Linked DNA regions of Saccharomyces cerevisiae S288C. The protein of the gene in region 1 purifies or fractionates together with the protein of each later gene. This does not show direct contact. Each region holds a gene or a part of one and is shown in the gene's direction. Other genes may lie near its edges.

Evidence for each region.
Region 2: the proteins of NOP53 (region 1) and SDA1 purify together in Saccharomyces cerevisiae (affinity purification with mass spectrometry; 5 studies listed by BioGRID, with this or other methods). This does not show direct contact.
Region 3: the proteins of NOP53 (region 1) and NOG2 purify together in Saccharomyces cerevisiae (affinity purification with mass spectrometry; 9 studies listed by BioGRID, with this or other methods). This does not show direct contact.
Region 4: the proteins of NOP53 (region 1) and NOP15 purify together in Saccharomyces cerevisiae (affinity purification with mass spectrometry; 4 studies listed by BioGRID). This does not show direct contact.

What each region holds. Positions count from the first base shown.
Region 1 is NC_001148.4:272,929-279,122, reverse strand, and holds NOP53 (Nop53p), read left to right. Parts: upstream 1-1,593; coding exon 1,594-2,961; downstream 2,962-6,194. Other genes in the region: oxysterol-binding protein KES1, read left to right, coding at 1-728; ATP-binding cassette long-chain fatty acid transporter PXA1, read right to left, coding at 3,256-5,868. UniProt on the Saccharomyces cerevisiae protein: Late-acting factor in the nuclear maturation of 60S ribosomal subunits, which is required for normal acquisition of export competence. Required for the export of the large subunit.
Region 2 is NC_001139.9:977,299-986,164, reverse strand, and holds SDA1 (Sda1p), read left to right. Parts: upstream 1-4,096; coding exon 4,097-6,400; downstream 6,401-8,866. Other genes in the region: 6-phosphogluconolactonase SOL4, read right to left, coding at 1-193; CPD1 (2',3'-cyclic-nucleotide 3'-phosphodiesterase), read right to left, coding at 480-1,199; transcription factor TFIIIB subunit BRF1, read left to right, coding at 1,893-3,683; LSC2 (succinate--CoA ligase (GDP-forming) subunit beta), read left to right, coding at 6,846-8,129; MPC3 (mitochondrial pyruvate carrier), read right to left, coding at 8,389-8,829.
Region 3 is NC_001146.8:720,088-728,678, reverse strand, and holds NOG2 (putative GTPase NOG2), read left to right. Parts: upstream 1-5,566; coding exon 5,567-6,376; intron 6,377-6,467; exon of another isoform or gene 6,468-6,741; intron 6,742-6,908; coding exon 6,909-7,559; downstream 7,560-8,591. Other genes in the region: HOL1 (Hol1p), read left to right, coding at 1-253; RNA-binding ATPase activator ESF2, read left to right, coding at 4,373-5,323; CCR4-NOT core DEDD family RNase subunit POP2, read left to right, coding at 8,032-8,591. UniProt on the Saccharomyces cerevisiae protein: GTPase that associates with pre-60S ribosomal subunits in the nucleolus and is required for their nuclear export and maturation.
Region 4 is NC_001146.8:413,124-420,228, reverse strand, and holds NOP15 (rRNA-binding ribosome biosynthesis protein NOP15), read left to right. Parts: upstream 1-1,740; coding exon 1,741-2,403; downstream 2,404-7,105. Other genes in the region: YEATS domain-containing protein YAF9, read right to left, coding at 1-131; YNL108C (uncharacterized protein), read left to right, coding at 403-1,215; CYB5 (Cyb5p), read left to right, coding at 2,927-3,289; DEAD-box ATP-dependent RNA helicase DBP2, read right to left, coding at 3,948-4,315, 5,318-6,590; DNA-directed RNA polymerase core subunit RPC19, read right to left, coding at 7,030-7,105. UniProt on the Saccharomyces cerevisiae protein: Involved in the biogenesis of the 60S ribosomal subunit. Required for pre-rRNA processing and cytokinesis. Associates with the precursors of the 25S and 5.8S rRNAs.

The sequences.
Region 1 (6,194 bases):
GTTATTTGGTTACCCCACCTCCATTGCATATTGAAGGTATTCTTGTCGCTTCTCCCTTTGTTGAATTGGAAGGAAAATCATATATCCAATCTTCGACAGGTCTACTTTGTGTTATTGAATTTTCAGGTAGAGGCTACTTTTCTGGTAAAAAGAATTCATTCAAGGCAAGAATTTACAAAGACTCTAAAGATAGCAAGGACAAGGAAAAGGCATTATACACAATATCAGGCCAATGGTCTGGCTCTTCTAAAATAATCAAGGCAAATAAGAAAGAAGAATCACGATTATTTTACGATGCTGCTAGAATCCCTGCTGAACATCTGAATGTCAAGCCTTTGGAGGAGCAACACCCACTGGAAAGTAGAAAAGCCTGGTACGACGTGGCTGGTGCCATCAAATTAGGCGATTTTAACTTAATTGCCAAAACGAAAACTGAATTGGAAGAAACGCAAAGAGAATTGAGAAAAGAGGAAGAAGCTAAAGGCATTAGCTGGCAAAGAAGATGGTTCAAAGATTTTGACTACTCTGTCACGCCCGAAGAAGGCGCCCTTGTACCTGAAAAGGATGACACTTTCTTAAAACTCGCCTCTGCTCTAAATTTATCAACGAAGAATGCTCCAAGTGGTACTTTGGTGGGTGACAAAGAAGACAGGAAGGAGGATCTTTCATCCATTCATTGGAGATTCCAAAGAGAGTTGTGGGACGAAGAAAAGGAAATTGTTTTGTAAGGAGAACGATAAAGTAACAACTTGTTACCGTTGCACTAATATATTATCTATCTTTTCTTCTTTTTCCTTCCTTTTTCTCTTCATGTGACAGGAAAGGATATGAAATCATTAGAGGAACTAAGAAATCATTTTTACCATCCCCTAAATCTTATATTGTTTTGTTCTCTTTTCACTATAATGACTAGAATTTATTCTTTCGAACCACAAGAATATGCTATATTGCTGTTAAAGATGAAGCAGAAAAAACCTTTATCTATTTCTACTTCTTCCTTTAATTATTGATAGACAGATCGCTCATTTTTTTCTCATGATGTCATATCCTTTTTAATCATCATACGAAGGTTAAAATTTGAAGTTTACCAAGTTTTCATGCAAGTTTTGTTATTATTTACAACCTATTACTATATTTTATCTTCTCTGTTGATATCCTCACTTTTGTCTTTTTTATAACTCTCTAATTTTCTTATGTCAATTTTGTAGAACCACATAATCGATGGAGTATATGCACTTATACAACACTTTCTATACAAAGTTTATGGTATATCCCAAAATCTGTACGCTTATCGAACCATAGGCCTGTTTTATCACTCCATAACAATGAAACACAAGAGGCTAACGCCAAGTACTAAAGTAATATTATCATAATATTGCGTATTACCTAACAGGTGTGCTCTGAGAGAATACAGTCATATTTGACGAAATTCTATAATTCCATCAAAAAATTTTCCGTGCCCGAGCTTTTTCACTTCTAAAAAAGAAAAGAGCAATAAAAATGCGATGGGGTCCTTACATTACAACTTATGCTATTAGTTCGGCTTTCTTGTGATCCATACCATCCTCACGTTAATGAATCATTTATTTAAAAATGGCTCCAACTAATCTAACCAAGAAACCATCTCAATACAAACAGTCTTCAAGAAAGGGTAAGAAAGCATGGAGAAAAAATATCGATTTATCTGACGTAGAACAATATATGGAAAAGAAAATTGATCATGAAATTACGCATGGTACCAGTGATATAACCTCTTTGCAAAATGATGCTCTTTTTCATGTTGATGTTGAGGGTGATGAGATATTGAAAAATAAATTAATTAAAAGGAAACAAATTAAGAAGGTTCTAAAAAGTAAAGAGATTTTAGACGCCGTTAAAACGAATTCAAAAATTGCAGCACTAAATCACCATAAGAATAGTAGTGGAAATCCTAATAAGATTCAAGGTGTTTCTAAACACGAATTAAAGAAATTAATGGCTTTGGCTGGCAGAGTACACGGCGAATCGAAGATCAAGAATAGAGTTGCCAAAGACGGTCTAGTTAAAACAACGGCTGGCGACTTATGGGGTGAAGAATCCAATTCAAAGAAACAGAAGGTCAAATTACCTTCCGGTATCAAACTTGATGTGGAAAAAAAGGACCAGATACCTGAAGAACTATTGAAAAAATCCACGACAAGTTGGTCTACTGCTTCAGTCAGACCAAGTACTTTAGATATAGAGCCAATTGCAGTAAAAGAATTCACAGAAATTCCACATGCTGGTAAATCCTACAATCCCAACAATAAAGCTTGGTCAGAATTGATAAACAAAGAGTATAAAGAGGAAAAGGCAAGAGAAGATGAAAGAATCGCCTTGGAAAAGTACAAAGAAAGAATTAGACATTTAATGGAAACTTTAGATGACAATGAAGAGGAAGAGTCTTCATCAAACGAAGAAGAAGAAGAAGAAGAAGAAGAAAATGAAAATGAAAATGAAAGTACGCAATGTAGTGGATCTGATAAGGAAATAAAACTATCAATAAATAAGCCTGTGAAGAATAAAAAGAAAACAAAATATCAAAGAAACAAGGCAAAGAGACATGAAGAGAAAGTAAAATTGCAACAAGAGTTGAAAGAATTGAGACAACGTGTTAAAGATTTAGAAGAAGTTATCAATTCTGAAGAGACTGAGATACTTTCAGCCATAGAGTCAGATAGCAACAAGGTTAAAAAAAGCAAGAAAAATAAGAAACACAAGTTAGGGACGAAATACTCTGTGATTGATGAAAGATTGGAGATTAAATTTTCTGACGAATTATCTGACTCATTGAGAAAACTGAAACCTGAAGGAAATCTGCTATATGATACTGTGAGAAAACTACAAAGTTCTGGTAAGGTCGAAACAAGAGTGCCCGTTAGGAAAGGTAGAAAGTATAAGCAGAAAATCACTGAAAAGTGGACACATAAGGACTTCAAATAGAGTTTTTTGTTTTACAGTATATGTTTCCATGAAAAGGTTGTCCTTGATACGTGGATTCATCAAGTGAGATATATATATATATGTTCATATTTGTGTTGGCAAGACCAACAACTGTATAGTAGGTAACAAATTGTTTCATTTTCTTTTCGTTCTCTGCCCTTTTCTAGTTTGAGAGGGCATTCCCATGTCGATATCTCTAGATATCAGTTAAACATTCAAAAGTACAAATTCAGTTACGGAAATAATATATAAATTATATTCGCTAAATAAAATCTCTCCCTTTCTAGGGTGTTTTCAAATAATTTCAAGCTTTTCCCGTAGCTTCGTCCTCTCATCTTCCCAACCTTTTACTCTTTCTAGTTTTCTCTCCAATTCCTCAATCTCGTTGTCAATCGACGTGATTGCTTCATCGGTACCAACTGCCTGTAATTGCCATTTGCCATCTCGATTTTCACCGATCTCTAGTAACATTTCATGATATTTGATTAATGTGGGTCTTTGTGATATGGAAATGAAATTGAATCTGTATCGTTTTAAAAGATTGAACAGATAGTCTTCCATGTCAACACTAATTGCGTTTGTAGCCTCATCTAATACTACGTATAGTGGTTTATGAAACATGATTCTAGCAAAATTTACTCTTTGCTTTTCACCACCACTTAATAAGTCCTTCCAATCGGCAATGGCATCTAGGTAAGTTAAGCCAACGCCTCTTTTTAAAAGATAATCTAGTTTCACTTCGACTAATATCTGTACTAGCTCCTTATCTCTAAACCCCCTATCAAAGAATTCATCCGAGGACATGGGGTATATAATTTGGTCTCTTAAAGTTCCACCTCTACTAAAATATGGTTTCTGAGGAATAAAAAAAATATTATTTTCTGAAGGAATCGACAATAATCCATTTTTGTTATACACTGGCCATATTTCAGCTATAATGCGTTGAATTGAACTTTTACCGCAACCATTTGGCCCTAATATTAACAGGCTGGAGCCAGAACCCTGCAAAAATGGTAACTTTATATCATTTGCCTTCGATAAGTCTTGTATAGAATTGGACTTTGAAGTTATTGGGTCAATATGCAAAGGAATTTGAAATGTAAGCTTGTTAATCAGCTTTATGCCTTCGCTCGCCCTTACTGATGGAATGATTACGTCTATATTTTCTAACCGAATACCGTTAAAATTGCGTTGAATAGTACCACGAATAGCATCTTGCGAATTATCCGTGGTGGGTAATAAGTTGGAATTTCTGGAAGCGTCTTCTGTACGTATTGACAGGATTGAAGGAACAGCGCCGTAATTAAAGTTCAGAGAGTGAACCCTGTGTAAGACGGAAAGCAGAGTAAATATCCTATTAGTGTAGCCGGTCAATTGTGAGATGTCCTTTATCGAATGCATCAATCTCGAGCCTGCATCTGCAAGCGACAACATCAACCTTTTGTTGACTATAAATTCCTTCATATTTTTTTCCTCTGAATTGATGCCTGTCGCTAAGGTAGACATAACGATAGGGATTGAGGCAAAAACATAACCCAAACCGGACCATGTATATTTTAAAACATAGTCTTCCAACATATTGTAACCAAACTTGACTTTATCAACCAGCAGCATTTTTTCCATCAGCACATCATACAACTCTTTAACTTTCGTCCTTTCCACTGCTGTTCCTTGGTAAAATGCGATCTCTTCGCTATTATTTATCATGTTTAGATGATAATTGTAGTAATCGCCGTCTGAAGCAGATCTCTCGCCTGCCAATTTACCTAATGGTGGCGTGTATTTCCTCAAAATAAACCCAGTAATGAAATAATTAACAAATATACCTGCTACTCCCACAGTTCCCAAATTATCACGTAAATAAACCGAAAAGAATATTAAATCAATAACTGGCTTTGCAATGTTTGCAAAAACGGAGCATGTCGCATCGCAAAATTTTGCAACATCATTAGTAATGGAGTTGTCGATATTCTTGATTACCGAATTGGACGCCTTTGCATCAAAAATTAATTTGTAAAATGTTAGTCTTTTATCCAAATACATGTCATGGATGTAACGTGTCAAATTTACCCTAAAGTTTAAACTCAACTTCCTTTGAAGTAGCTTAATAGCACTATTAGTATAAGAAGCAGGGACAGCAATTAAAAACCAACACCCTAAGTCCCACAGAAAGCTTCTTCCTCTACCAGCAATTATATTTTTGACTATTTGTCCATCCAGCTTGGCTACAAACAAAGAGAGCCAAGTTCTCATCACCAGGAAAAAAATTTGAGCAGTTAAAAGAAGAAAGTTTTTGTCAAAAACTGTTGGAATTAAAATTTTAGACAAGACGTTCATTTGGTTTAAAAATTTTGAGTAGAATAACTGCGAATTCTTGGCTCTTTCCAGTTCTACATTTTTAAAAAGAAACTTATCGTGTTCATATACATCGTTATCCTTTGGTGGAATAAATATCCTTTTCCTTTTTTTTTTATCTGTAGCATTCATAAATTTGTTGTCATCGGGACTCTGGCGGTCGACTAATTCCACTTCAGGAATATACATTATTCTTGCACCACTGTCTAATTGCATTTGAGATCTTGTTCTTCTTATTAAAGGTCTCCTATTCCTTCTCTTCCATGGAAACTTGTAAAATTTATAACATTTTAGAATAATTTTGAAAGTACTATATGTTACACCAGAAAAAAGTGTGACACCAGATAGGAAAAGCGATACCAATAAAATCTGGGCCCTTCTTCTTAGCTTAGGATGAGCAGCGTTTGATCTAGATATCTGTAGAAGATGCCGTATCAATAACTTGAAATATACTTTAGGTGTGACATCGTTAACGTGTAGCCCAATACAGTGAGTATGTAGATTCAGGAGCAAACTCTTTAGTTTCGCTGGTGCTGCTAATGTTGTTGACATTTCTGTGTTATGCGTTCTAAGACTTCCAGATTGTCTGAAACGGGTTTCATTGTTAGTCTCACTTCTTAGAGAAGCATTCTTATATATCTTGACTCTAAAAGGGCTGAAAATAACCGCCGAAATTAAAAATTGGGGTAAAAAAGGGTAACGAAACTTATGCGGTTAAGCCCGATCAACATATAGCTGAATATTGCGTCAAGAATAATTTCTTAATCGGGATTATTTCCGAAGGAAGAAATTCTATTGAAAAAAAAATCTTAACATCAAAACTGCTTATATACATTCCACAGGTTCAAGCGGTCATAAGAGATCTGACTTTTGATAGA
Region 2 (8,866 bases), on another chromosome or scaffold:
TAATATGTGGAAAAATGTTTTTGTCATTTACCAAACTTTCGTACAGCGCTTGGTTCATCGATCCTCCACTGATGGCGATATTGAACACTGCATCAGCGTCGCCCGTTAACGCCGATTCTTGCTTTTCAAGGATAAACTTGCCGAATTCGTGTATGAGGCTTTTCTTTTCGCTAAACCTTTGTAATTTCACCATTTTTCTTGAGGTGGTTGTGGATTATTTGATGAATGGCATTCTTTGTTTGGAAAACTGCTGCGATAAGACTACGTTCTTCGTCATTTCTTAAATATTATGGATCTTACAATTTTCGCTGCTTAGGGGGGGATTTTTTTAATTTTCAAGGGATTTCCATCCCTTGCGAAGGCAAGCGATCAGTATACGTAAATCTCTAACTAGAACATTTTCAAGTATTGACAGATATGAAAAAAAAAAAAAAAAAAAAAATTCTATATAATTACTTACAGTGCACATAAATGTATGCTTAAACGTCCACCCGTCCCAATACCTCCCATTCTTGAACGGGCCCCACACAGTTGACCACTTTAAACGTTCCTGGGATATTCCAAGATAGCGATGAAGATACGTCAAAATCCCATCTCATTTGCACTTCATTGGACCCATCAGCGTTTCCGGAACCCTTACGTTTCTCTCTTGGAACTAGTTGCACGTCTAGAGCATCTTCAATTCTTTGTTGAACTACTCGCAATGACGCCTGACTTACCGGATGAATATCCGAATAAAGCAATGAGACGTGAGGATGGAATTCCTCGTGCACCCAAGTGGCGGCACGGCTACTTCGCGTCTCAGGATCGATCTCTACGTACATCTCTCTCATGACTTGTGCGACCCCATAAAGTATTTTGTTCTTGTTACACTCGAGCACAATTTTCTTGAAATATTGTTTACCTACACTGCATCCATTGAAAGATACCAAAGGAGCTGCAACAGCATGGGATACCTGTCCCTTACGTCCTTTCTTTGCTGTTTGGTGTGACCTTATCGATTGGATGGCAGCAACACAGGAGGTCAAGATTTTGTTGACATCATCTTTACTATTGCACACCAAATGGGACGTTACCGTCACATGAGGTTCAAAAACTGGTGAATCTGGGAACAACGTTTGAAACGAAAATATAAGCATCTGTAATGTCTCGTAAGCAACTGATCCTTGTGGTGGACAATACCATAATGCTATTGCCATTTTTCTGTGGTTACTGATATTAGCAAATTGAAGTATCGCGAATTCCCAAACTAGAATAATTACAATTGATGGTAAAATAAAATGATAAAATAATCTGATTAGATTCTTGGTATCTCAAAAGTGACTTTGATAACTTCTTGATTGTTTGTGCCCCTGCTTACGAATTGGGTTCTTATTAAACTTCACCTGCATCGCTTCTCCATCGGATCTAACCTAAAAAAAATAAAAACCCCCCGGTAAGCACTTGATCACGCCTACAAAATCACTTAGTGAACAAAGGAAAATAGATTGTTTTTAAAGTTGTGAAGTAGTGAACTATGGCTTCCCACATACACATATATACTGATACAGATGCAATATAACATTTAGTGTTAGAAAAATTTGCTTCTATCTTGATGACATTGAATACTCTTGGACGTAAAAAAAGACATCCGATTAAAGTGGAGGTAATCTACAAGAAAAGTTGTTCTTCCCCTCATTAGAAATCTTGCAATGGTCACGGCCGTCGCTATCAAAAATCAACGAAGTGAAGTGACTCTAATTTTTGTCTATTAATGTTGCGATGGCCTTATTTGCTATTCTAAGGTTTTCGCGAAGTATCAGGTATGATAAAAAAAATCATATTTTTGATCGCATCAAGAACAATCCCAATGGTAAAAACGGTAATAAAAAAGAGTCCATAGTCATATACCAATGCCAGTGTGTAAGAACTGTCACGGAACCGAATTTGAGAGAGATCTTTCCAATGCTAACAACGATTTAGTTTGTAAAGCTTGTGGTGTTGTCTCAGAAGATAATCCTATCGTCTCTGAAGTTACATTCGGTGAAACAAGTGCAGGTGCTGCTGTAGTACAAGGTTCTTTTATCGGTGCAGGACAAAGTCATGCTGCATTTGGTGGTTCTAGTGCTCTAGAATCTAGAGAAGCCACATTGAACAATGCAAGAAGGAAATTACGCGCCGTTTCTTACGCATTACATATCCCGGAATATATCACAGATGCTGCTTTCCAATGGTATAAGCTTGCATTGGCTAATAACTTTGTACAAGGTCGTAGGTCCCAAAATGTTATCGCTTCATGTCTTTACGTTGCATGTAGAAAGGAAAAGACGCATCATATGCTGATCGACTTCTCTTCAAGGTTACAGGTGAGTGTGTATTCCATAGGAGCCACATTTTTGAAAATGGTAAAGAAATTACATATCACAGAATTGCCGTTAGCGGATCCTTCCTTATTCATTCAACATTTTGCCGAAAAATTGGATCTTGCTGACAAGAAGATCAAAGTGGTAAAAGATGCCGTAAAATTGGCTCAAAGAATGTCCAAGGACTGGATGTTTGAAGGACGTAGACCTGCAGGTATTGCCGGCGCATGTATTCTACTAGCTTGCAGGATGAATAATTTGAGAAGAACTCATACAGAGATCGTCGCAGTTTCACATGTCGCCGAGGAAACTTTACAGCAACGGTTGAACGAATTCAAAAATACAAAGGCTGCTAAACTTTCAGTTCAAAAATTTAGAGAAAATGATGTGGAAGACGGTGAGGCTAGGCCTCCCTCCTTTGTGAAGAACAGAAAGAAAGAAAGAAAAATAAAGGACTCTTTAGACAAAGAAGAGATGTTTCAAACAAGTGAAGAAGCATTGAATAAAAATCCAATTTTGACGCAAGTATTAGGAGAACAAGAACTGTCTTCCAAGGAAGTCCTGTTTTACTTAAAACAATTTTCAGAAAGAAGGGCCCGTGTTGTGGAGAGGATTAAGGCTACTAATGGTATAGATGGTGAAAATATATACCATGAAGGTTCTGAAAACGAAACAAGGAAACGCAAACTTTCTGAAGTTTCTATCCAGAACGAGCATGTTGAAGGGGAAGACAAAGAGACGGAAGGGACTGAGGAAAAAGTCAAGAAGGTAAAGACAAAAACATCAGAAGAAAAGAAAGAGAACGAATCTGGGCATTTTCAAGATGCCATTGATGGTTACTCTCTAGAAACAGACCCATATTGTCCTCGCAATTTACACTTGTTACCCACAACGGACACATACCTTTCGAAAGTTAGTGACGACCCAGATAATTTAGAAGATGTTGATGATGAGGAGTTAAACGCGCACCTATTAAACGAGGAAGCTTCTAAATTGAAGGAAAGAATTTGGATTGGTCTGAACGCAGATTTCTTACTTGAACAAGAGAGTAAACGTTTGAAACAGGAGGCAGATATTGCCACAGGTAACACATCAGTGAAAAAAAAACGTACGAGACGTAGGAATAATACTAGAAGTGACGAACCTACAAAAACTGTGGATGCAGCAGCAGCTATCGGATTGATGTCAGACTTACAAGATAAGTCTGGTTTACACGCTGCATTGAAGGCAGCTGAGGAAAGTGGTGATTTCACAACTGCTGATAGTGTCAAGAACATGTTGCAGAAGGCAAGTTTCTCCAAGAAGATTAATTACGACGCCATTGACGGTTTGTTTAGGTAACGTTTAGGTAATCAACCCTAGGAAGGAAAAAGGGAACGGAAATAAAGACGCAATACATTTGGTTTTGGCTAAAATATATAGAACATGAAGTGCAAAAGAATTAAAGGTGCATTAACTATTTAATATGTATGTGATTATATAAATCTAAAATCTCAATGTCGTAACAATCACTGTTCCATTAAAAAAACGGGTAAGGTGGAAATTTCAGTTTTTTTTTTTTTTCTTTTCTTTTGCTTGATCGGCTAAAAAATGAAAATTTTAAACTCATCTCATCGCAGATAACCATAACACGCTTAACAGATAGAACGTTCTACCACTAAAAAAACATATCAAACGTCACTTTTTTGAATAAGTAATAATAGTTAAGGAGGAAGCACAAGACGCACTGAATATACCAATCAAGGGCATCAACAATGGGTAGAAGAAGTAGAGCAGCTATGCTCCCAACAAATATCATTCTTTTACAGAATTTGGTAAAGCGTGACCCAGAGTCCTATCAAGAGGAGTTTCTTCAACAATATGCACATTATGAATCGCTAAGGGACATTTTTATGTTAAATGGGCTTGCTGGAGGTGATTCTGCAGCTGCCACTAATGGGCTCGATGTAGGAAATGGATCTTCTACAATGGCAGGTACTAACGGTACCACCATGAGCACTTCAACTTCGCAACTTATTGAATTGGTTGGCTTCGTATCTCAAGTCTGCTCATGTTTTCCTCGTGAAACTGCAAACTTCCCGTCTGAATTAAAGCAGCTTTTGCTGGAACACCATAAGTCCTTGCCATTTGAATTGAAAGAAAAAATCTTAAGTTGTTTGACGATGTTAAGGAATAAGGACGTCATTACTGCTGAGGAATTAATTCAAAGCTTATTTCCTTTATTGGTTGCTTACTCTTCCCATGGTAATTCACTCGGCGTTAATTCACACGCCAAGGAATTGAGGAAAATCATTTATACAAATTTAATTTCTTTATTAAAAAGTTGTAATACTAATGGTAAAAATCAAAAATTGAACAAATCTACGCAGGCCGTTTGCTTTAATTTGTTAGATCAACCAGATTCCCAGGGAATCTGGGCCACAAAATTAACCAGAGAACTTTGGAGACGTGGTATTTGGGATGATTCAAGAACAGTAGAAATTATGACCCAAGCAGCATTACATCAGGATGTTAAGATTGTCATGTCTGGTGTGATGTTTTTTTTGGATGCTGACAGAGAACGTGAAGAAAATTTTGAAGAAAATTCCGAGGATGAGGATGGGTTTGATTTAGATGCATTAAGGCATAAGATGCAAGTCAATAAAAAAACGGGTAGACGTGGTAAGAAGCTGGAGAATGCCATAAAAACTGTGAAGAAGAAGAAGAAGAACGGACCGGGTGCTCCTCAAGGGTATTTAAACTTCAGTGCTATCCACCTTTTGAGAGATCCACAAGGATTTGCCGAAAAATTGTTTAAGGAACATCTTTCAGGCAAAACGAAAAACAAATTTGACATGGAACAAAAAATATCTTTGATGCAGCTGTTATCAAGGTTGATTGGTACCCATAAGTTAATTGTTTTAGGAATTTATACTTTTTTTTTAAAGTACTTAACTCCGAAACAAAGAGATGTTACAAGAATTATGTCCGCATGTGCCCAAGCATGTCATGATCTTGTCCCTCCTGAAGTTATAAATGTCATGGTGAGAAAGATTGCAGACGAGTTTGTATCAGACGGTGTTGCCAATGAAGTCGCTGCTGCAGGCATTAATACCATTAGAGAAATATGCTCTCGTGCACCTTTGGCTATCGATGAGATTCTACTACAGGATCTGGTAGAATATAAGGGGTCTAAAGCTAAAGGTGTCAATATGGCTGCCAAGTCATTGATAGCGTTGTATAGAGACGTGGCACCAGAAATGCTAAAGAAGAAGGATCGTGGTAAGAATGCCGCCATGGAAGTACAAGAAGCCAAGAAAGGAGGTAAAGATTCAAAAAGACCGCAATTTGGTGCCGACAACAGTGTTCAAGGGATTGCTGGTATCGAACTGTTAGCCAAATGGAAGAAAGAACATGGTGAAGAGAGTGAAAATGAAGACGCTGATGCCAACTGGGAAGTAGATGTCGATAGCGAAGAAGACGATGTCGACGGTGAGTGGGTCACCATGGATAGTGATAAAGAATATGACGTTGATATGGAAGATAGTGACGATGAAAAAGACAATGCTAAGGGCAAGGAATCAGATTCCGATTTGGAACTAAGCGATGATGACGATGAAAAAGAAGTGAAGGATGAGCAAGAAGATGCAGATATAGATCCCGAAGCTGCCTTCCGTGAAATTGCTTCTACACGTATTTTAACTCCGGCAGATTTCGCTAAACTACAAGAATTGCGTAATGAGGAAAGCGTTGCTAAAATAATGGGTATCCACAAACAAGACAAGCGTGAAGAGTTAGTTGATGCAAGTACACTAACAGGCCCTATCAAATACAAACAGTCTCGTGAGGAAAGATTACAAAAGGTGTTGGAAGGTCGTGAAGGTAGAGACAAATTTGGTAGTAGACGCGGTAAGCGTGACAACATGCGTTCTACTACCAACAGAGAAAAAGAAAGAAGGAAGAACTTTGTTATGTCTATTCACAAGAGATCTGTTAGAGGTAAACAAAAAATGTCACTACGAGACAAGCAAAAAGTGTTACGTGCACACATCACCAAACAAAAGAAGAAGGGGTATTAGACGACATCGTAGCCATATTAATATATACATACATATACACAGATACATTCATCTCTCCAACTGTATGAGGACTTCTCTACCTTGAATGGAACACCAAAGCCAGGTAGATACTAAAAAAAACTCTTTTTATGTCTTGGTACAGAGAAAAATGCTCCAACTGGTATCGATTATGTGTTCATCGGGAATTCTCGGCTTTTCCCCGCAGCGGCGGAGTGAGTATTCTAAAAGTTGGTTGGCCTTTCAATTGCCGCGTAGTCAACATCTTTGAGGTTTTATATAAGATCGACGTTTTCCTTATCAGCACTTTGACGTTTTCTCTCGAAAAATAACAGTGACTATAGAGCGATAGTCCAGTTTTTTTGTAACTGACTTTTAGGTAGTTAGGATTAATAAGGATTGAGTCAATACAATCGAAAAAAATACTGAAGCATTGCAACTGAACAAAATGTACTCAAGAAAATCCTTATCCCTAATTTCAAAGTGTGGGCAATTAAGCAGGCTAAACGCGCAAGCTGCTTTACAAGCAAGGAGACACTTGTCAATTCATGAATACAGGTCAGCTCAGTTATTGAGGGAATACGGTATTGGTACTCCAGAAGGATTTCCAGCGTTCACTCCCGAAGAGGCTTTCGAAGCAGCCAAGAAATTAAACACTAACAAACTGGTCATCAAGGCGCAGGCATTGACCGGAGGTAGAGGTAAAGGTCACTTCGACACCGGTTACAAAAGCGGTGTTCACATGATCGAAAGTCCTCAGCAGGCAGAGGATGTTGCAAAAGAAATGCTCAATCATAACCTGATTACTAAACAGACGGGAATAGCGGGGAAGCCAGTATCTGCTGTATATATAGTGAAAAGAGTAGATACAAAGCATGAAGCTTATTTATCTATTCTAATGGACAGACAAACCAAGAAACCGATGATCATTGCGTCCAGTCAAGGTGGTATGAATATTGAAGAGGTGGCTGAGAGAACCCCAGATGCTATAAAGAAATTTTCAATTGAAACTTCAAAGGGATTGAGCCCACAAATGGCCAAGGATGTTGCCAAGAGTCTCGGTTTCAGTCCCGATGCACAAGACGAGGCAGCAAAAGCTGTTTCCAATTTGTATAAAATATTCATGGAAAGGGATGCTACACAAGTGGAGATTAACCCTTTGAGTGAAATTGAACATGATCCAACCCACAAAATCATGTGTACAGACGCCAAATTTGGGTTTGATGATAACGCATCATTCAGACAGGAAAAGATATATTCCTGGAGGGACTTATCACAAGAAGATCCTGATGAAGTTAAGGCAAAGAAGTATGATTTGAATTTTGTTAAGTTGAAGGGTAACATTGGATGTTTAGTCAATGGTGCTGGTTTGGCTATGGCTACTATGGATGTCATCAAATTAAATGGAGGCGATCCTGCGAACTTTTTGGATTGTGGTGGTGGTGCCACCCCTGAGACCATCAAACAAGGTTTCGAATTGATCTTATCCAATAAGAACGTAGATGCAATTTTCGTCAATATTTTCGGCGGTATCGTAAGATGTGACTATGTTGCCCTGGGGCTGGTAGAAGCCGCCAGAGAACTAGAAGTTAGGGTCCCCATTGTGGCACGTTTGCAAGGTACCAAAGTAGAAGAAGGCCGCGACATTATCAATAAGTCAGGCGTGAAGATTTATTCGTTTGATGAATTAGATCCTGCTGCTAAAAAGGTCGTTGAATTGACCCAAAATTAAGCTTCTCGAGAAAAACAAAAGAGTTAATAATAAAGTATATATGCTTTTTTACTATTAATAAAGTTTCTTATTTTCCCTACATGTATACATACATATAAATATACTCTTTTGGAAAAAATTTCTTTTTTTTTTTTTTAATTTTTTTATATTTTTCCATCTTTTGATGTAATATAGAGGTTATATAATGAAAGAATATATAAGAGGTCATAAAAAATCATTAAAAAAATGCGAGTTCAGGAACATATTATCGTTTACGTAATCAGTGCGTTATTGGCGGATTAGTACCGATCACACCTTTGTTCATCGATGTGGATGCAGTTTGCTTTGCTGCGACGGCTGCAGGAGTCTCCCCTTTTATTATGTAGTGAATAACCTGTTTAAAAGAATCACCGTTCCGTATCCTAAAGTTAGCAATTCTTGTTAGATGGTAGCCTGCAGTGCAACCCAGGAAAAAATTGACGGAAGCTAACAGATAGTTCTTGGGCTTGATGACAAACGACCAACGCGTCCAAATCAGTGCCGTCGCTAATAAAGATAAATTTTGTGCTCCTGATACCTTCTCAACAGGCCTCTTAATATCATTTAGCCCTGCGAAGACCAGCCCCCACTTCAAAGTTGGGGCCCAGAAGTGTACTGTTTTAGGGCCTGTTTCACTATTCCAAAATCTTCTAAAGGCAAAATTAAAAGCTGATGCTGACATTAAAAATATAGGTTTGTGTTTCTATGTGTCTTGAATG
Region 3 (8,591 bases), on another chromosome or scaffold:
TTGTTACCCCGATATGGTTTTGGAAGGTATGGTTTGTACTGCTATTATTAACAACACGATATCTTGCATTTTCACCTTTACCTGTTCTGATTGGCTAGCTGCATCTGGTACTGAAAATACTTACATTGCTTTAGCTGTCATCAACTTTGGGATTACTGCATTTGCTTTACCAATGTACTACTATGGTAAGAGGATAAGACTTTGGACTAAGAGATGGTATTTGCAATCTGTCAATTTGAGAGACGGTGTGTAATTCAGAGACGTCTTTCTTGTATCTAGTAGATGATAGGAATTAAGTATTTTTTTTTTACCTAACTAGGATTATAATTGCAACAACAAAAGCGCCCTTCGTGAAACACGTGGGATACCGGTTAGGTAATATTACAGTTTCCTTACACACTTACTAAATACGCAACAGAGCATGTTATTAATCGTATATTTAAGTAATAATAACGTATTGACCATTCCTAAGACTGAAGCAGTACCAAGAAATGGCACTTTTTGTTTATATGACATAGTAAAAGTGTTCATTTGGCAGAAAACAAGGGTATCTGGATACTGCAATCCTCATTAGTTGCGGAGAGCTTTTTTAAAGTTTTATTACTTCGATAATGCTTTCCTCCAGAACTGGGCGCGCACTGAAGCCATAAACTGAGTGGTTGTCCCTGTGTATATTCTACAATCGCCTATTTGAAACTTCTGGGTGATAATATCGATTTAGCGATTGGGTTTCTCCCTTCTGAGATTCTGGATAAATGAGATGCTACCCTCACAGTAAAAACAGTACAAAACCTTTGTATAGTTCTAGTCAAATATGAACTCCTTCATTCATGGATTGTATACTATTGTTCTTGTTGAAAGATTCCTCTTGTGATTTTCATGGTGATTTTAAGCCTTTTTTATTGAAAGAATTAAATATTCACTAGGCTGCGATACGATAGACAAACGAAGTGATTGAAACCCGAATTAACGGATATGGCGATTATGTGTGTTTATGATCCCAATATTTGATTGTCGGAAAAAATTAATCATCTATTGGTGTGTACTCATACTACTTGTATCATATACAGTGTAAAATGACGACATAATTGATGGGAAACAGTTATCAAAGTTATTGGATGTTGAATTGCAAGAATTGATGAAGTAATAGGATAAGGAATGACAACGTATAAAATTGAAGGAGAAATAAAAATATATATTATATAGAAGTATCGGGCCCCTTTCGTAGATTCCTATATCCTACAGGATAACTTTTGGTACATTCTGTAGACCTAAGTTCATAGCTTTTATAAACAATTAATCCCAAAAAATGTCTCTTTTGATGATTAGATGTTAAAAGGTGATATTACTGACTACTTGTTCGAAGTGCCTACGCAACACTTTAGCTGCTTTTTTTAAGCAGCGGCAGATGAGGATTTAAATAACGCATAACCAAGAATATACCTAATGAAGTGAAGGTATACAGGCTGTTCTATGGACTTGAATAATACTGGCTACCCTGGCGTCCTAATGTCGTTAAGAAAGTAACTTGATATCAGATTAATCACAAACTTGGTCCACAAAATACCACTTATCTCATATAATCTAAATCTGACTAAAGGGTGTAGGCACGGAACTTCGGACCTAGAGGTATTGCTCAATATGTATATTTCTCAATGGTTCATCTAGGTAAGCAAGGCCTTGAATAATATACTTAATCTTGTCTGTTTCGCAACAATTGCTGAGTACAATAATGTTGGAATAAAAATCAACTATCATCTACTAACTAGTATTTACGTTACTAGTATATTATCATATACGGTGTTAGAAGATGACGCAAATGATGAGAAATAGTCATCTAAATTAGTGGAAGCTGAAACGCAAGGATTGATAATGTAATAGGATCAATGAATATTAACATATAAAATGATGATAATAATATTTATAGAATTGTGTAGAATTGCAGATTCCCTTTTATGGATTCCTAAATCCTCGAGGAGAACTTCTAGTATATCTACATACCTAATATTATAGCCTTAATCACAATGGAATCCCAACAATTATCTCAAAACTCACCCACTCTTCAAATAATGATGTGGTATACTACCTGAAATACGATAAAAAGTGTTGTATTACGGGCTCGAGTAATACCGGAGTGTCTTGACAATCCTAATATAAACAGTCTTAGGGAAGTAACCAGTTGTCAAAACAGTTTATCAGATTAATTCACGGAATGTTACTTATCTTATATATTATATAAAATATGAATCATGCTAAGTGGTGGAAGCGCGGAATCTCGGATCTAAACTAATTGTTCAGGCATTTATACTTTTGGGTAGTTCAGCTAGGGAAGGACGGGTTTTGTCTCATGTTGTTCGTTTTGTTATAAGGTTGTTTCATATGTGTTTTATGAACGTTTAGGATCTCAAAATGTCATACTGACGTATCTCATTTTGAGATACAACAAAAAGTATAAATCTTTGGAGGGTTGGCCGAGTGGTCTAAGGCGGCAGACTTAAGATCTGTTGGACGGTTGTCCGCGCGAGTTCGAACCTCGCATCCTTCAGTATTTTTTTTTATTTTGTCGGGGCCACCAGATCTTTAATGGCAAGACAAAGCGTTTTCAGATACATGAAATACATTGAAGCTATCTTTTTGAAGAAGAATACCTGCGTAGTGTTCTATGATTGTTCAAATAATATTTTAAAATGGTATTTTACTACTGTGTACATTTTATATGCTTAAATAAAAAAGAAAGTAGAGCACCCAATGTACGTGTGGTAAGGAAATAAATGTTCATAATTTTCATTAATGCATCAAACGGGATAAATGTTTTGGAAGAACGCAAATTTTGAAAATAGATTCCATTGGCTCTTGATAGTTGCTTTACGTATATTTTGTTTAGCCTTCTTTCCCTCATATAAGTATGCAGCTCTTCATTTTCCAAACCAGGATGAGATATGGATATATAGTTTCCCACTGAATCTTTGTGTCAATGCTACGCCCATCTTCTGCACGTCAGAACAGAATAACTACCTTGAGAAGAAAAAAAAAATACAAATGGTGGTTACTTGATAATGAATATGCTCTAATTGAAAAGAAATCTCCCTAGATATGATACCGCCCTCGACGACCCGATCTTTGGTATTTGGTAGGACTGTATCATCTTATTCCTCACATCATAGCAATTTTGTTCGTCATAATGTTCCTTTAGTTCTCAGAGTCATATGAATTCTATTTCCATAGAATTTTCCATTTTGAGCAATACGGGGAGTCGCTACCTCGATTCTAAGTTATGCTGCATTGACTTTATTGTGTGATATACATATCGATGTACTAGAAAGGGTTTGGTTTGGCCAAGTTTTTTATTATGAGGGTGCATTTTTTCTGTTTTAACACATTTCTCATGATCCTAATAGAAGGTTGAGTAGAGATGTACATAATATTTTGCGGAAAGTTTCGACACGTTCATTAGGTTCTAAAAAATTATTATTTTTCATAAGCTATTGAGATCTTATCACCTTGCTCTGTAATTCTAAAGTTGTTCTAAAACCGCAATTAATGTTTCAATTTTGGCGCTATTAATAATGATGGATACTCAACGAGGCGTACCAGTAGCATTTTGCCATCTTAACACATTAGCAAACGTTGCTATTATTGATCCTTCCATAAGTAATTTCACACATCCATTTTCGTCCCTAAGATAAAACAAAGTCTCACAATTCGTATATTGATATTTCAAACCCCAAAGCCTGTAGCCTTTTGATTATGACCGACTTCCCAGACGTGGCCATATTGATAAAGGTGCTTTCTGATCAAAGTTAGTATTAAAGAAAGGGTAAAATTCGTAATATCGTAATATTGTAATATGAACCAAAAACGTTCACAATGTGTAGGATGCACTACCAAATAGGTTGCGTTGTAGTACTCATCTCTCGGTTGCGCGACTAGAAAGTTACTAGAAAACTCCGGAATTCCTTATAATATACTGCAATAATGCACATGTATCTTTTCAGTGCAAATTAATTATAGGAACAAACAGATAGCGACAATTCTTTAAGGGCTGCTGGATTGACAACCCCTTCATCGACCATATTTGATTAGCCAGCCACCAAATAGCGTTTCAATTGACAAACTACATTATCTCGTGAAGAATATTTAAACGGTGATATTGGGTCTGTCTGATCACATTTCCAAAGGCAATGACGTGTAAATTTTTTCTTTCTCTTGTTTTATTATTTTGAATTACTTCGTTATAGCCAGCTTTTCTCACATTGCGCAGTAAAACTTTCGCTATTAAGATTTTGAAAAATTTCAACCTGACAAACTACCCATTGCTATGTAAGTACAAAGCAAACAGTTTACTGCAGCAGAGTGAAGTAAATTTTTACGCATGAGTGAAAAAGTAAATAGTGACTTTGAAGACTTTTCCTCAGATGAGGAAACCGATCAACATAACGTCTTAATTCAGACCAAGAAAAAAATTTCTAGTAAGGATGATATCTTCAGTAAGAAGGTAGAAGACATCGAAAGTGAAAACGAGTCAGACATAGAAGAAGAGCAAAAACAAGAAGAAAAAGAGGATGTAGAACAACCAGATAAAGAGAATGGAGAAAAGCTCGATCGAGAAGTAGAAGAACAAGCTTCGTCCACCACTTCACTGGATTTAAAAACAGAAAAACTAAGGCAACTGGTAAAATCAAAGGCCGCCAAGAAGTCTAAACACAAGACTGGGGTGGTATACTTCTCCAGTATTCCACCTTACATGAAACCTGCAAAAATGAGACAAATATTAACTCGTTTTGGTGAGGTAGATAGACTATTTCTAAAGAAAGAGGACGATCAAAAGTACAAGCAAAGAGTTAAAGGTGGAGGAAACAAGAAAAACAAGTATGAAGAAGGTTGGGCCGAGTTTATTAGGAAAAGAGACGCCAAATTGTGTGCGGAGACGTTGAACGGGAACATTATTGGTGGCAAGAAAGGTACTTTCTACCATGATGATATCCTGAACGTGAAGTACCTCCCAGGTTTCAAATGGGCAGATTTGACTGAACAGATTGCCCGCGAGAACGATATCAGACAGGCCAAGTTGGAGATGGAAATCTCGCAGGCCAACAAACTGAACGCGGAATTCATTAGAAACGTGGAGCAAAGTAAGATGATACAAAACATTAAGAACTCTAGGAAGCGCGCCGGAAAAGAAGGAGAGTCTGCAGATTCTCACCCTCACAGGGAATTTAAACAACGTCGTGTGGAAACAAGCCGTGCCAATGCTCCCTCTGATATCAAGCAGCAATCCTCTGGGTCCAAAGACTTGGGTAATGTTCTCACCAATTTACTATAATATAGAATCAATAACAAATATATAAACACAACCTGTCATTTAGCACGTTTTTTTGCCCGATGCTCATCGCAAAAATTTTTCGCTTGAAGAAAAATTTTTCACTTTTCTTCTTTTTGGGCATATAAAGAAGCGTAGAATATATAAAAGATATTTACTACTTGTTAGTACTTTCCCTTAAGTGTTAACTTTGAAGATCTGTTGACTTGCAGCAAAACCACTAAATATCAGGGGAGGAATAATACAATGGGTACTGGTAAGAAAGAGAAATCTAGACGTATTCGTGAAGGTGACACCAAAGATGGTAATCTTCGTGTGAAGGGTGAAAATTTCTACAGAGACTCCAAGAGAGTCAAATTCCTGAATATGTACACTAGTGGGAAGGAGATCAGGAATAAGAAAGGTAATTTAATTAGGGCCGCTTCTTTCCAGGACTCCACAATACCGGATGCGAGGGTCCAACCAGATCGTCGTTGGTTCGGTAACACAAGAGTGATATCTCAGGACGCACTGCAGCATTTCAGAAGTGCATTGGGTGAAACCCAAAAAGATACATATCAAGTTCTTCTGAGAAGAAATAAGCTTCCCATGTCATTGTTGGAAGAAAAGGACGCAGATGAATCCCCAAAAGCCAGAATTTTGGATACCGAAAGTTATGCTGATGCGTTTGGGCCCAAAGCCCAAAGAAAGAGACCACGTCTTGCTGCATCCAATCTAGAGGACTTGGTCAAGGCTACAAATGAAGACATTACCAAGTATGAGGAAAAGCAAGTCTTAGATGCCACATTAGGACTAATGGGGAACCAGGAAGACAAAGAAAATGGGTGGACCTCCGCAGCAAAAGAAGCTATTTTCAGTAAGGGTCAATCCAAACGTATTTGGAACGAATTATATAAAGTCATCGATTCGTCTGACGTGGTAATACATGTTCTAGATGCAAGGGATCCATTGGGTACCCGTTGTAAGTCCGTGGAAGAGTATATGAAGAAGGAAACACCACACAAGCATTTAATTTATGTTCTTAATAAGTGTGATTTGGTACCTACCTGGGTTGCAGTATGTTAACTTTTTTTTTTTTTTTTTTGATTCTTTCCAACCAAGAGGATAGCACGAGAGATTTTTTTTTTCGATAGAGTATGATTTTTATTACCAAACCTTTTTGTCAGGGTGCTTCTCTATCCGTTTTAGGATAAACTTATCTACAGAAGTGTCTGTTACTGTTTTGGAAGAGTAATACTGTTCGCTTATCCATATTTCCCCGTTCTGGGGAAGCCTCATGGGTAAATTAGAAGGACAACCTTTGTTTTAAAGGTATACCTTCGCTTTTTAGAACAGCGAGGATCTTATGAGTTGAGCTTTTGTTATTTGAGACTTTATCTCGGGCTCCATACAATATGTTCGTAGTAAAGATCCTCACAATTTTCTACTTTTTTTTTTTTTTTAGTTTAATCCACTCTTCGAAACAATCAATCTCGGCTATAACAATGATTATTACATTCTCTTGGGGCAAAAGATTACCTATTATGAAACAAAATGTATTTTTTACTAACAGAAGGTTTTTTTTTTTCAATTCTAACTTTACAAGTAGGCAGCTTGGGTCAAACATTTGTCAAAGGAACGTCCAACTTTGGCGTTTCACGCATCTATTACCAACTCTTTCGGTAAAGGTTCGTTAATTCAGTTGCTACGTCAGTTCTCACAGTTGCATACTGATAGAAAGCAAATATCTGTAGGGTTTATCGGCTATCCAAACACTGGTAAATCGTCCATCATTAACACATTGAGAAAGAAAAAGGTGTGTCAAGTTGCACCAATCCCTGGTGAAACTAAGGTCTGGCAATATATTACTCTTATGAAAAGAATTTTTTTGATTGATTGTCCAGGTATTGTGCCGCCTTCTAGTAAAGACTCCGAAGAAGACATTTTATTCAGAGGTGTTGTCAGAGTCGAACACGTCACACACCCAGAACAATATATTCCAGGTGTTTTAAAACGTTGTCAGGTAAAGCACTTGGAAAGAACTTACGAGATCTCAGGATGGAAGGATGCCACGGAGTTTATTGAAATTCTGGCAAGGAAACAAGGTAGATTACTGAAGGGTGGTGAGCCTGATGAGTCTGGTGTTTCTAAGCAAATATTGAATGATTTTAATAGAGGTAAAATCCCTTGGTTCGTCCTTCCACCTGAAAAGGAAGGGGAAGAAAAACCAAAGAAGAAAGAAGTTGAGAAGACGGCATAGAGGTAAAAACGGACAACCGGTGTATAATATTAATTTAAGATTACAAGTGATTTTTTTTTTCTTTTTTTTTGTTATTTTTTTTTTTGTTCTTATTATATGGCAGCAAACATTCTTGGGGAAACAACATAGATGGGTAATTATTTAGTTTATAAAGTATAATATTCCAATAGAAAACTTAAGTTCGGTAATGATATAGCCCTCTCTATAGTATAAGGTAAATCTCATTATACCAGTCATTCCAAACGGAATTCGGTCCTTACCCGCTGCTCGCTCTTTTTTCATCATTATGATATTTTCTTTATTGAGTCTTTTCAATTATAGTAGTAGAATGATAACTGACAAGAAAGATCAGTTTGAAGTTTATTAGCGTGTCTCGTTATCAGGGCTTCCTTGTTTTTCATACTGGAAATACTTCGAACGATTAGAAACAGGCAACTCAATTTTATACATTTATAAAGGGTCAAAAAGGATTATGCAATCTATGAATGTACAACCGAGGGTATTAGCTGTAGGAGGTGAGCAGTTTTTCTCTCAGAGGCAGGCTTCTGAACAACACCAGCAGCAAAACATGGGACCTCAGGTGTATTCGCCAAAGGTTAATAGAGCAAGAATGTTTCCTCAAGGGATGCCTGTAAATACAATTAATGGCTCTGTTAATCAGGAGATGAACAATGCCTATCTTTTGAAGCAGAAGAACGAGCCACTGTTAACTCAGCAACAACAGCAACAGCAACAACAACAGCAGCCATTTAATATAGGAACGCCTGTTTCGGTGGCTAGTTTGCCGCCCGGACTGAACGTTCTGCAGCAACAACAACAGCAGCAACAACAACAGCAGCAACAGCAGCAGGGAGTGGGACTCAATCGTCCCTTGGCTTCCCAGCTACCCAAGCATTTAACCAACCAAAGTATGCCACCGATCTTTTTACCACCCCCAAATTATCTTTTCGTTCGCGATGTCTGGAAGTCCAACCTTTACAGTGAATTCGCCGTTATAAGACAACTGGTCTCGCAGTATAATCATGTGTCAAT
Region 4 (7,105 bases), on another chromosome or scaffold:
GTCCATAAATGAGTATGTTCGGCAGGAGCATTTGGTGGTTTAACGCTACCCATCTTTTTAGCCGTATTGCCATATATTATTGGTCTGCTCACGGAGAGAGTTTTTATCCTTTTGCTTATTGTCGGAGCCATCTCGCTTTCTTTGTGATGCCGTAAATAGGTGGTCACAAGTAATGTATCTATCCCTCTAGCTTTCGAAGGCTACTTGTTCAGTTGCACATAGAAGACATCTAAACTCTGGAAAAATAATCAATGGTGCCGAAGCGTCATCACGTCATCCGAATAGCGGATATTTCGAAATTTATAAAAAAGCTTTGAAAACAATCCTAGAAGTAAAGCAGTTTCGTTCAATATGTAAGACGTTCAATTAGTTGTACAAGAGGTTAAAATAGTGCTATAAATTATGGCTATCGAAAATATATACATTGCCAGACATGGTTACAGGTCAAACTGGCTACCAAAGGGACCATATCCACCACCGCCCACCGGTATTGATAACGATGTCCCGCTTTCGGAACACGGTGTTGAACAGGCACATGAACTGGCGAACTATATCTCTAAATTAGATGTCAAACCAGAAATGATTTTCTCCTCCCCATTTTACCGCTGTTTAGAAACTAGTAAACCCACAGTGGAGGCTTTAAAGATTCCATTATATGTCGATCGTGGTGTAGGAGAATGGTATAAGCCTGATAGACCCATTATCCCGGAGCCTGCTACTCATGAAGTTATGAGTAAGTTTTTTCCAAGCATGATCTCTCCAGACTGGGAACCTAGTATTATTCCTAGTAATAAGGGTGAAACAGAAGAAGATATTTTTGAGAGGTGCCATAAATTCTGGCCTGTCTTTATTGACAGAGTGGAGAGAAAATTTCCAAATGTAAAGACCATTATGATAGTTACCCACGCAGCCACTAAATCCGCTCTTGGTATGAACTTGTTGAAATTCTCCAGTGCCAAAGAGCCCATTGATAACAAAGGCACCTTTATAAGAAATGGAAGTTGTGCTATTGATAAATTTGAGCTGGTGAAAGGAGAAAATGAAAGTATACCATTTGAAGAGAGAGAGTGGAAACTTACAATGAATGGCAACACCTCCTTTTTAACTAATGGGGAAGAAATGAATTGGACGTTTATGAATGCCTTTGAGGCTGGTTCAGACGCTGATATCAAAGCGAGAAGAGCAGCTGAGAGCGGAAAACTAAAAATGGAGTGAAAACTAAAGTGAGTCTTGAATTCTGTACTTCTCATTATACACTTCTGCATTTGATTTTTATTTCATGATGAAGCTGTGTGAATATATATATATATATACATATGTCAAAGTCTAGTGTAAATTGATAGAATTAACAGTATCTTTTAATATCCCTAAACTTCAAAATTCAAGGTTCAACGATTGAAAGATGAGCTGTCTAGGTAGTAGTACCGAAACCTTTCGAGTTTTGTGCTATCTCTGAAAACTCATTATCCTGCTAAACCCTTTCTAATGTGCATAGCAGCTATTGCAACTTTAGCATCCTCATTACAGACGGCATAGCAGAGACGTATGCGGTTACCCCCCAGATTTTGCCTGTTTCTTTTCACTATGAAAAATTTTCCGCCATAAGAAAAAATGAAGTAGTGCATCGCATCTCATCTCATCACTTAATTTGAAGACGATTACCATTACTTTTAACTTCATTAACTACCTTTTCTATAGGGTTAAGTTCTAGAGATAAAATAACAGAGGAAAGAGATCGATATGGTAAAGTCAACAAGCAAAACTTCCACCAAGGAAACAGTAACCAAACAACCCACCGAAGAAAAACCTATACAGGAGAAAGAAGAGTTGGCTCTAGAAACATCGTCTAGCAGTTCAGATGAAGAAGACGAAAAAGATGAAGATGAAATTGAAGGTTTAGCCGCTTCTGATGATGAGCAGAGCGGTACACACAAGATTAAAAGATTGAATCCTAAGAAGCAGGCTAATGAAAAAAAGTCGAAAGATAAAAAGACACTTGAAGAGTATTCTGGGATTATTTATGTGAGTAGACTGCCACATGGGTTCCACGAAAAGGAATTAAGTAAATATTTTGCTCAATTCGGTGATTTAAAAGAAGTGAGATTAGCACGTAATAAGAAAACTGGAAATTCCAGACATTATGGCTTCTTAGAATTCGTTAATAAAGAGGATGCAATGATCGCCCAAGAATCTATGAACAATTACTTGTTGATGGGTCATCTACTACAAGTGCGTGTATTACCAAAAGGAGCTAAAATCGAGAAATTGTACAAATACAAGAAGAGAGTTCTAGTAGAGAAAGGTATCACCAAACCAGTAAAACAGCTAAAGGATAACATGAAGCAAAAACATGAAGAAAGGATAAAAAAATTAGCCAAGTCAGGTATCGAATTCAAATGGTGACTTGTCACTTCTCATCCACCCTGAGAAAAGGGTTTTGTAAGATAGAATAGGAGATATAGCAAACTTGGGAAACCATTTATATCATTAATTCCAGCAATATAGTTCCGTTTGTCCGTATTCAATGATATTTACATGATTGCTTTTACGAAGATTCAACGACCAAAATCACGGAGCGGGTAATAGCCTGGAGTTTCCGGATGAAAAATTTAACGGCCCAGAAAAAGAACAATAGCTGCAAAAAAGAAAGCTATACGAGATCGAGATAGTGAGAGAGGTTAGCATAACGAGAAAATTTTTGTCGCATTCGTGGCCAAAAAGCGATATTTGAGAAGCATTGTTATTATATCAATAAATAACAAATATATATATTGTCCTTTTTCCAATAACTATATAAAGAACAAGAAGCTTTTGAAACTTTCTCAAAAATTTTCGTTCAGGCTTCCTCGTTAATATTTAAATTCGATTTTCATTTTCTTCATAGTAAAGAAAATCAATCAACTACAACATAAAATATCAAACAATCATGCCTAAAGTTTACAGTTACCAAGAAGTTGCCGAACACAATGGCCCAGAAAATTTCTGGATTATCATCGATGACAAAGTTTACGATGTTTCTCAATTCAAAGATGAACATCCAGGTGGTGATGAAATTATAATGGATTTGGGTGGACAAGATGCTACAGAAAGCTTTGTCGATATCGGTCATTCTGACGAAGCATTGAGACTACTGAAAGGTTTATACATTGGTGACGTTGACAAGACCAGTGAGCGCGTTTCTGTGGAAAAGGTATCTACCTCTGAAAACCAAAGTAAAGGTAGTGGTACATTGGTTGTCATATTGGCCATTTTAATGCTAGGTGTTGCTTATTATTTGTTGAACGAATAATTTTTCTTCCAGAATAGCCCACACTCTTCTCCAAACTCAATTGAATTTTTCGTTTCAGTTTATTAAATTATTTATTTACAAGCAATCAAGGCCAAATTAATGTCTTACAACATTAACTTATGCTACTATATCGCATAGAAGTATGTCACTGTATCATAGAATCTGCCTGGCAGATAGAATTATTATAAATTAATATGTATATACTTATCTTTGTGTATGGCTAAAAATCATCGTCTTAGATAAAAAAAAAAAAGGCAAATAAAGCTCTGCTCTTACTTCAATACGATCAACCTGGTTGTCGTGCATTTCGCTCATTCTAAAATGACCCATAAGCGCTAGTGCACGACTTCTTTGTAAGTCTACTGTTTTTTTGAAAATCATTCGTTTAACATCGGCCCCAGGGTTGTACGAGAACAAAGAAAAGTGTCTGTCCTATTATTTTACGGCACACTAAGCGTTATGCGAAATAACTTCAATCCAGTTGCCACCGTTCACCCAAAAACTTAGGAGTATTAAAGAAAAAGTGTGACGAAGAGCTTTAAAATATTAAAAATGTAGTATACAGCAAATAAAATTTTATCATGCATTGAAGAAATAAGGTGCAGTCAACTTATATAATTATTATTAATAGAGATGAATGAATTGAATCACTTTGACTTCAATAGTTTGAACGACCTCTGTTACCCCAGCCACCATCTCTCTGCCTGTTACCGCCGTAACCACCACGGCCACCACCGTAACCACCTCTACGGCCATAGCCACCACGACCACCACGACCACCACCGTATCTTGGGTGACCGCCACCATAAGATCTCCTGTCGTATTTCAATAATTCGGGAGGAATATTTTGATTAGCTTCTCTCATGATAGAGATTAATTTAGCACCTAAACCTTTGTTTTGTTCGGTGAAGAAAGATATAGCAGTACCAGTAGCACCTGCTCTACCAGTTCTACCGATTCTGTGAACATAATCTTCAATGTTACCTGGCATATCGTAGTTGATAACGTAATTGATACCTTTGACATCTGAAAAAATAAAGAAGTAAACAAACGTTTACAAAGCATACTGTTAGTAATTTGGTTCGTTATTCTGTATATGAACTTTATTTTCATGCCCCCCACAAATTCATGTTTGGACTCCCAACATTGTCTCAAATTTCCCCCTGGCTTGAAGATTATCAGAAATTATATTTTTATTAAAGAATTCGAAATATTTAATCATCAATACTCCAGAATCCTTATTCAAACTGAATGAAAGCTAGCACTTAAAAAAAGGAAAACAAAGTAAATGATTTCTGAATATGGTTGAAATCCTTTTATTTTGTTATTTTCCATTTTTATCAGCACTTCTTAATAATTCGAACTTGGGATGCAACAGTATCTCAATATAACTACAAAATGCATAAACTACACAAAATGAGAATAACAATAGTCAAGAAGGATGACGGCATTTCAAAGTAGAATATACTATTATTTTTCCAATAAAACAATCTACCCTTGTACAAATGCCAAGCATTGAAAAAAACAACGATCAACGAAGCGTATGTATGCGTTCTAGAAATAAGCTGAAAAGCCAATTCCTTGTTTATTTGCGCCGATGTCAAAAAGCGAAATTTCTTTTGACATGAAGTGCAAATCATGAACACAAATACACTTCTCCGAGTTTATAATTTCCCGTCTCTCAAAACGACTAATTAAAGTCAATTTTTCTCATCCTCCCAATATTAGTTTTCTGTAGTGATGCATTAGAAGTCATTCGAATTAAAATTCAATTTCCGATACTCCCCATCGAGAATAGACTCACATAGAGTCTAGATTCGAAAAGGCTCAAAAAAAAAAAAAAGAAAAAAAGAAAAAAAAAAAAAAAAGAAAAAAAAAAAAAAAAGAAAAAAGGTCTCTCTTCTGTACTATCATGGTTGTCATAAAGTCATTAATGTCATTAAAAGCCATTAGGAAATAGCTGTAATATCGTTAGGGGTAACAAAAAAAAATAAAATCAATAAAAAAATGGAGAAAATTTTAACATACCGATACCTCTGGCGGCCACATCAGTAGCAACCATAATTGGGGATCTACCGTTTCTAAACTCTTGTAGAACCCAGTCACGTTCTCTTTGGTCTTTGTCACCATGAATAGCCAAGGCGGGCCATCCATCTTCTCTTAGATACTTGGTGATATCATCGCACATTCTTTTCGTAGAAGCAAAGATTAATGTCTTGTATTCGTTGTCTTGAGAGGCTGTTTCTAAGTACTTGTTCAAACGATCTCTCTTTTCGAAATCAGAAACAACTTCGACGATCTGAGTAATATTATGGGAGGCAGATAGTTCTAGAGAACCAACTTGAACTTGAATTGGATCATTCAAGTAATCAGCGGCTAGTTGCTTCACCTCCTTTGGCCAAGTGGCAGACCACATCAAGGTTTGTCTATCAGGTCTGATTTGATCAACAATCTTTCTGATTTGAGGTTCAAAACCCATATCTAACATTCTATCAGCTTCATCAAGAACCAGGTAAGTGACTCTCTTCAAATTAGTCTTACCAATCTCTAGCATATCAATTAGTCGACCTGGAGTAGCAATAACAATTTCAGAGCCACGAGATAAATCTCTGATTTGTTGACTTTTTGGAACACCACCGTAGACACAGGTATTTCTGATTCTGGAACTATGACCAAACTTGGAACATTCTGTTTGAATTTGAACAGCCAATTCTCTAGTTGGAGCCAAAACCAAAACAATTGGTCCATCGCCTGGAGCCAATAATGGTTGAGCGTTGATATGAACAATACCTGGTAAACAATAAGACAAAGTCTTACCGGAACCAGTGGCAGCAATACCAACCATGTCCCTACCAGATAAAGCCATTGGCCAACCCTGACATTGAATGCCAGTTGGTTTGTCAAATCCTTCAGCCTTCACTTCATTCAAAACGTAGTCTGGGAAACCAGCTTCATCGAAAGTGGTGATTGGCTTTGGAATATCGTGTCCGGAAATAGTCATTTCATTTTCCTTTCTGAACTGAGCAATCTCACTGTCCGATCTGTCGCGAACACTTTCGTGTTCAACATAGAAATTCTTTTCGAAAGTTGGCAATTTGGGTAATTCTTCATCCCAGTTTGGTTTGATCAATTCCTGGGGTTGGTTGTAATTGGAACGACCACCGAAACCACCACGGTAGTTACCGCCTTGTGGTCTGTCATTGTAAGAGTTTCTATCAGAGTTTCTTCCACCGCGGAAGTCGCCACCTCTAGACTTGTAGTTAGTCTTGTTATATTGCTGATCTCTACCACCGTAAGTCATATTTGCTCTAAATTTGCCTTAATAGTGCTTAATTCTGTTACAGGTTGTTGACAAGAAAATAATTTGAATGAGATACAGAAAAGTATAAGTTATTTGAGCGTAGGACAGTCTTTTTATAAGACAAATAAACTGAAGGAAAAATTTTCTGCGATGAGCATCGGCGTAAAAAAAAAAAAAAAAAAAAAAAAAAGAAATAAAAAAAGAAATAAATTTTTCAATCATTCAATACGGAATACGCCTTTAAAAAGGAATTTCGAATTCTCAACATTATTAGCACCTTGTACGAAGGTGTATTTTTATCTGGTTATATTATACATAGATTTTAAATAGCACGACTATAAACGGGATACACAAATCAAGCTGTATCTATACTAGCGTGGTGTGCATAATTATTAGAAATTTCAGAGTGACAGAGGGTCTTTGAGTCGATCCGTAACATCTACATGCTCTTGATTTTTTCAGTAAACTTAGATTCTACAACGTCACATAAATCCATCAAGTCCTTTAGCCCTTTT